Linked DNA regions of Cricetulus griseus. The protein of the gene in region 1 purifies or fractionates together with the protein of each later gene. This does not show direct contact. Links are inferred from orthologs where the notes say so. Each region holds a gene or a part of one and is shown in the gene's direction. Other genes may lie near its edges.

Region 1 (4,190 bases):
TAGGATAATTTTGGTTCAAAGTATATCCTTTAACAAGCTCCCTGCTTCAAAAGCTCCAAGCCTCTTTGTTTTGTTTTGCTTGCCTAAACATGTCTCCCCAAAAGCCAAGTTGTGAATACCATTTTATTACTATCCTTTCCTCTGCTTCTAAATGCAGACTACTGAGTGCATTTCTGTGGTATAACTTTGGCCCCTAATTTCGCATGTTTTCTCGGATTAAGTCTGTGTCTTGACAGGCTGTATATTGGCGGGGATGCAAGACAAACATGGATACCTGTGTTAGTTGGAATAACACAATGTGAAAAAAGACAGAAGGACATGTTGGGTTCTTACTAGCCTATGGCTTTAAAGCGTTATTTTTCAGTTTAAAAAAGAATTCTGGGTATTCTATAATCAGAACTTTGATTTGTCCTTGAATGATTCTGAGGAGTATTTTTAATTTCTAACAGCTGACTTTTAAAATTCCATTGTTTTCATTGATTTTTAGGTATATAGAATTGGGGTTAGAAAACATTGCCGATTGTGTCTTGTGGTTTTGGAGACCCTTTGTGTACACAACAATGTAGCACACATATTTTTGTGAAGTAAAATGTTCATTGCATTGTTATTAACTCATTTTGCAATTGTGTCATCCACAGAAATTTAATTGCTATCTTTCTATTTTAGAGACTTCTGCAGTTAAACTTGATTGTCAACATGACAAGATTTAGAATCACTATAGAAATAGACATCTGGGCATATCTGTGAACAGTTTTCTAGATGAGGTTAATTGATTTGGGAATTTCTACCCTAAAGGTGGCCAGAACCATTCCATGGTTGGGGTCCTCAAACTAATTAAAATGGAGAAAGAGAGCTGAGAGGTACTTACCTCTCTCTTCTTCCTGACTGTGAATGCAATGTGACCAGATGTTCCACATTTTGGTTGCCATTCCTTTTCTGCCATAGTTGACTGTCTTCCCTAGAACTGTAAGCTGAAATAAACCCTTCCCTCACTAAGTGGATTTTGTCTGGTGATTTGCCACAGAAACAAAATAAGTAACTAATACAATCCTCTATACAATTTACATCTCCCCCGCCTTCCACTTTTAATGCTTTGTTTTCTCTGTGTCCTTAATATCACATGATTGCCTGCATCACAGGGATGAGTTCTGTCTCACGATGAATTACAGCTGTGTAAACTTAAACATCTCTTACCACATCAGCATTGTGGTGGCTTTGATCAAAGATGATTGTTAGTCACTGTGGCTCAGAAAGCTGATGAGTATTGTTTTGTTGTGGTTTGCTACCTTACTCGGCATCTTCTGACAGACCTCTTTCCCTTTTATTCTAGTTTGCCAAGGCACAAGTAACAGGCTCACTCAACTCGGCACTTTTGAAGACCACTTTCTGAGCCTGCAGAGGATGTTCAACAACTGTGAAGTGGTCCTTGGGAACTTGGAAATTACCTACGTGCAAAGGGGTTATGACCTTTCCTTCTTAAAGGTTAGTTCGTTTAATGTGGTTGTCCTATTCAAACACTATCAAATGAAATATGAACACTCAGTAGAATCTGACTTGAGGCATGGATACTTCATCTTATGGAAGCCACAAATCCAAGGGACTATAGGAGAGTGTTATGAGAAGTCCACTCTTCCAGCTAAAGTCAAGTTGCTTGTGGGGGAAAATGGGAGAGAAACCCTTCTGATGTTCCACAGTCCTAAATATTCCTAGTGAGCCATTAGGAGCCAACTCTGAAGGCTTCAAAATCTGCTATGCAAACACTTGGACTTCAGCTGGGTTTACTTTGCCTTTATTTCTTTTTCATTTTTTCTTCCCCTTCTCCCTCACTTCTTCCTTCCACAAGAAATCATGAGAGATGAATTCAAAATAGTTATTTTCACTTCCATTTATTTGAGTTAAAGTGGGAATCACAACATATCAATCAGCTGTTCTTTAATGTAACCTTCAAATGAAACGTGAAAGAAATCATTGCAAATCCTGCCACAACCTTTACCCACATGTGATTGTCTATGTGTCTTAGATTTATCTGCCACATGAATGTGTCATTGTGAAGTTAAATGGGGCTCCTGGGCCCACTTTAATAGGCTTTGTTTTCCCTCTCAGACCATCCAGGAGGTTGCTGGCTATGTGCTCATTGCCCTCAACACTGTGGAGAAGATCCCTCTGGAGAACCTGCAGATCATCAGGGGGAACACTCTGTATGAAAACACCTATGCCTTAGCTGTCCTGTCCAACTATGGGACAAACAGAACCGGGCTTAGAGAACTGCCCATGCGGAACCTACAGGGTAAGAGGTGGGACATCAAGGCCAAGAGGGATTCTGATGGCATGTGGCAAATCTGTCATTTCAGTTAATCCTAACTCAGAGAAGACATGTTTGTGAAACACATGTACTGAGTGCTGTTTGCAGGATTCAGTGGGTGGCAGTTACAAAGATGATAGGTAATGAGATGGAAAGAGATTTCAGCCAGGTAGAAACCAGTTCTTCCATGGATGAGGAATAACATCCAGAGATGGAAATAAATGACCAAGTTCTCCGGTCAACCTCGGTGAGTGAGAGTTTGTGTTAATAGGAAATAAACTTGGGCCAGAGGCAGAAAGGACATGCAGTCACTCCCTCATATTGCAGGGAAGCATTCCTAGGCAAAACTGGATGTCTGAAACATTAGGTGTCCAAAACCATACATGCCATGCCTTTCCTGAATCTATATGGCTCTCATCATTCAGTTCATTGATTAGGTATAGCAAAACATTAACAACAGCAATGAAAAATAACAGAACAATTAGTGTGCTTCACCAAATGCTTGTGAATTTGGTCACTTGATGTTTCTCCCAAAGTGGACCAACAGCAGTTGGACCCCAAAACCACTCATGGGAAAGGGATCTAATGTATTTAAAATCTGTCCTGTTTGAGGAATAGGTTTCAAGGTTAATATTGTTACATGGAAACTCAGGTGTAAGTTGGGAAGAGGAAGGAAGATTTTGGAGTTGAAGAGGAAAATGGAAAGGGTGGCTGAAATGATGAGAAACAACAATTCTTCCTCCATTTCCTGGACTGTTTCTCAAGTCAGTAACTCCACTTAATGCCACAGCCTTCCATAAAAGCAGGTGTTGTACTCTGTCATTTTACAGATAAAGGCATGGCATTAAGATAACTCTTCCTGTACCCCATGCCTGGTTCTTTCATCCCTGTGTGCCCTGCAGTTCTGATGGGGAAGCCATTTGGACTGGGAAGGGGATGCGGTGGAAGAAAAAGTAGAGAGAATGGGACCCTATTGGTGTGTTGAGCTAGGATGTGGCCACACAGCCAGCCAGACACTTCCTTCCTCAGCTCCCTGGTTCACCATCCCATAAACTGCCTCCAGAATTCCCACCCACCACTTTAACTGCTCTGAGCACCCACGCATGTTTCTGAATTTTTGCTAGCATTCATCTCTCCTGTACACACATTGCATGAAATGGCCTGTTTGGTACTTTCGGCATGCCTTGTTCTGCCTATCTTGCCTCATACATGTGAGGAAGCCAGCGGGTGTGAGTCTAGATCCTGGAGCCAGGCTGTCTGTGTTCCAGCCCCAACTCCATCACCCGTCAGTCAAACGACTTTGCAGATATTCCTTCACCTGTGTTTTTCTCTGTATCTCAGTGCCCTCACGTCCAAAATGTAGTACACATATTTGTTAATGTGTTCCCTCTGTGTTGACAAAAATCAACTGTATTACTACAGACAAAGCATGCCTCAGCTATTGAGTTCCTACTTTGCTGTTGTTGTCTATATGTGTGTCTGTGTGTGCATGCTCTAACTGAACTACCCCTATTTTCTAATTAAAGCAAGGTTATAGTTTTATTGGTCCCAGTTATTTAATATAGGACTACTGCCACAACTGAGCATTTCCCAAATGTTGAAATAAAAACAAAAGATTTGACTTTCTACTCATTGCCTTTCTCTATTCAGTTAGAAGGAGGAGACTAGTGAATCCTGCCCCCGGCCAATTATCAGTTACCTATTGTTGGCTCTCCCACCTCCCTGTGCCTCCTTGTCTCTTCTCTTGGTTGTCACTGCAACCTTGATGTGCCTGTCTTCTTTTGCTAAGTTTGACCCTATACTTCTGTCTCCTCTTGTTTCTATCATACTGCTGTCATCTCTATTTTCCAGGTAGAGCTCCACATCTTGGCTCTTTCTGACTTGCCCA
Region 2 (3,565 bases), on another chromosome or scaffold:
TCAGACCGAAAACCTCAGTCCCTCCTCATTCTGCCTGGCATTGTAGTCATAGCCACATAACTTCTCCATCCTTACAGCATTGTCACATGTAATCTCACTTACATGCAGAGCATTTCTGATATGTGGGCCATGGTGAAACAAATGACAGATGTGGTATTGGCACCAGCAACTGATGCCCTGAAGAGCCGAAACAGTGTAGAAGTGCGCATGGAGTTTGTCAGGCAGGCCTTGGGATACCTTGAGCAGAGGTGAGGTAGCTGTGCTCTCTCTCTCTCTCTCTCTCTCTCTCTCTCTCTCTCTCTCTCTCTCTCTCTGTGTGTGGGGGGGGTGGGGGGGGGGGGTGTTGGCTTTCACTTTCCCTAAAATCACCTGTTTCTCAAGTCTTATGTGGTTCTGGGGCGGAGTGTGCTGAAACTGGAGTACTTTAACCTGACTGGTATGAGGTAATTCTGTTGTCAGAACACTTATCTACCAGGACTGTTTCTGCAACTGATAAAAAATCATACATGGGAATGGTGGTAAGGGGGAGCTGTTGACCTCTTTTACTTCTCTGCCCTTCACATTTAATGTAGAGGCGTGTTGATTAGAATATAATGACTTGCATCATAATCCTGTTTTCCTAATATGACTCAGCATTTTCTCCCCAGGTTCCTTTGTTTTCTTACAGCATTTTAACTCACCCTTGCAATATGACAGCTTTGAAACCTTAGGAAGACCCTCCTGACGCTACCCAGTTAATCCCGAGTCAGGCTCTGTGAAGCTGCTGAGGCCAGTGCTTTGTGTCTGGGCTGGGTTGCTGAGGGCTTTGTGGCTATGTCCTCTTAGGACCTGTGCCATTCATCCTTCTTTGTGGAACTCTGGAATCCCAGCAGGATTCCAGACCTGTGCAGCAGACCCCATGCTAGGGACAGAGCACTGGGCATCAGCCTGCTGGCTTGAGAAGAGCTTTGTCAACAAAATAATACTTGGATAGGAAGTTCCTTGAGGGAATTCAGACTGATGCTGCTGTTTCATATCAGATTCTATGCTAATTACACCTTAGCTACATGAAGAGAGCACCCTCCAGTTTGTACTCACTCGCCTCCATTCTATTAAATCTGGAATTTAAAAAGGCTTTGGTTTTCGTTTTTTAATTTCTCTAGTCTGTGTGTAAAGATTTTATAAAGTAGTTCTTCAGACTTTGGCTAAACTTATTTTTCTCTTTAGTTTATATTTTTATTTGTATGGTTCTTTGGCCTGAATGTTTGTGTATCACATAGGCGCGGTGTCTATGGGGGCCACACGAGGGTTTTGATCCCCCTAAGACCGGAGTTACAGATGGCTGTGAGCCACCATTTGGGTCTCGAATTGAACCTCAGGTCCTCTGGAAGAGCAGTCACTGCTCTCAACTGATAAGCTATCTCTCCAGCCCTGTAGGCTAAACTTTTGAGATGGAGGTTTGGTTGTATTGATCACCAACCATAAAGAATCTAATTTAGTAACATTTATTCATTTTAGTTGGCAAACTGAGCCAGATTTTCATACACCATATAAAAATCTTAAGGAGTTAAAAATAAATAAATAAATTTGAAAAATGCTTTCCCTGACAAACTTAATCTTTAAACTGGAGCTTCAGTCACAAGGCTGCATCCCTGTTTATGTAACCCATTTTATTATTTATTGCACTTAGTTTTTTTAAAAAATATTTTTAATTTTTTTAGATGTATTTATTTTATGTGTGTTTTTCCTCCAAGTACCCACGTGCACCATGTGTGTGCCTGGTGCCAGTGAGATCAGAAAAGGGCACTGGATCTTCCGGAACTAGAGTTACAGACAGTTGTAAGCCTCCATATGGGTGCTAGGAATCCAACCCAGATTCTCTGTAAGAACGGCAAGTTCTCTTAACTGCTGAACCATCTCTGCAGCCCCTAATTTAATGTTTTTATTCTTTGCCCGCTCTCTAGCCTGACTTTTGGAACTGTCTGAAGGTCCTGTCCCGCTAACAAAGCCTGTCTTTATCTTTGGAACAGCATCCCTCTCTGGCAGCATCCTTTTCAAAGCTTCCTAAGCTCCTGTTTGAATAACTGTACACCCCGTTACAGTATTTCTGTAGATGCTTTTCTGCTGACAGAATAATATAAAGTTTCAAGTTACATAATCTACCAGATGGTAAAGGAGACCTAGTTCCAAATATGTTTTTAAATGTAAGGCGAAAAATACAGGTTTGGTCTGTCCCTTCCATGTTCCAAGGCTTGTGGTAGGATATGTTTGTCTTGGTTCCCAGTGAGTTTAGGCTTCTTTAATTTAGGATCTTGCCAGCACGTAAGTTGTCGTACTGCAAGTTGGAGGAGGTAGTAGTGGGCATCTGTTTGTCCTGGCTGCTACAGAGTGCTCTGTTCTCTCGTCTTTGCTTTTAAATGAATGTAGTGGTGAGGAGAATGCATTGTTTAATTGCCTAATGCTTCTTTTCCATTACAGAACAATATGTGCTTTTTATAGGGATTTAGGAAAGTGTCAAAGAGAAGATAGGCACCATTCCTCACACCCAGAGGTGGCTCCTATTGCCCTGTGATAGTTCCCACCCTCTTTTGTCATGAATGTTTAGTTTAGTTTTACTTTTTCTACAGTTATGATCCAGATATATAAAACAGAGTTTTGCATAGCTCAACTTCTAGTTCTTTAGAAACCATTTTTTCTAACTATGTCAGATTCCACAATTTGTTCTCTGTAATTAGCCTTTAGGGTCATTCCTGGTTCTTGGGAGGTACATGGCTTAAATGATCCTAGGTTAGGTAGCCATGGTTTTTGTAACATTTTTAAATGCTTCTGGGAATAAACAAAATCATGTTCCTGTGTGCATTTGGGTGTCAGGTAGGACATGCAGAGACAGGAAACACACAAATGTCGCTACGGCTCATCTAGGTACGAAGGGATTCACTGAACTATTTTGACTTGCCTTGGAATTATTTCAAATTCTTTAAAATCAAAGGTTTTGTTTTGTCTTTTAAAGCAAACCCTTTAGAACATTAGGTTCCACCTTATGGTATTTGAAGCCCTCAGTTGTATTCCCCTGGGAATTCTTTGGGGTAACTGTAGTAAACATCCGTAGTGGAGAATGGAATTTGCTTCATTAAGCGTGTACTGTTTCCTCTTCTATATGGAATTTAAAATCCAGGCCTTGCCCATAGAGGAGTATTCTGGATGTGGACATAGATGTTGTAATGCAAGTTGTCAACCTTCACCACTTTGGGTTTTTTTTTTTTTTTTTTTCATCTTTCCAGTTATAAAAATTACACCCTTGTGACTGTCTTTGGAAATCTGCATCAGGCCCAGCTGGGCGGTGTGCCTGGGACTTATCAGCTGGTTCGAAGTTTCCTAAACATTAAACTGCCAGCTCCCTCACCAGGACTTCAGGTACTGGAAACCTCTCACGGTCAGACACACTCTGAAGCTGTTGGTTGTTCTCAGTTGAAAGGAGGTTCTGTGTGGCAAAGAGGCCATGGATGAGTGGGTGGGGCTGCTTAGCTTGCCATGTAGCTAGAGGATTATTTTACAGTGTCTTAGAGAGTCTATAAGCTAAACTGGA

Evidence for each region.
Region 2: the proteins of Egfr (region 1) and Nup93 purify together in Homo sapiens (affinity purification with mass spectrometry, with the first as the bait; 3 studies listed by BioGRID). This does not show direct contact. The link is inferred for Cricetulus griseus from reciprocal best matches to the Homo sapiens genes EGFR and NUP93.

The regions. Positions count from the first base shown.
Region 1 is NW_023276807.1:89,407,797-89,411,986, reverse strand, and holds the start of Egfr (epidermal growth factor receptor), read left to right. Parts: upstream 1-1,386; 5' UTR 1,387-1,401; coding exon 1,402-1,482; intron 1,483-2,103; coding exon 2,104-2,287; intron 2,288-4,190. UniProt on the Homo sapiens protein: Receptor tyrosine kinase binding ligands of the EGF family and activating several signaling cascades to convert extracellular cues into appropriate cellular responses.
Region 2 is NC_048596.1:170,534,551-170,538,115, forward strand, and holds part of Nup93 (nuclear pore complex protein Nup93), read left to right. Parts: intron 1-108; coding exon 109-248; intron 249-3,260; coding exon 3,261-3,393; intron 3,394-3,565. UniProt on the Homo sapiens protein: Plays a role in the nuclear pore complex (NPC) assembly and/or maintenance. May anchor nucleoporins, but not NUP153 and TPR, to the NPC. During renal development, regulates podocyte migration and proliferation through SMAD4 signaling.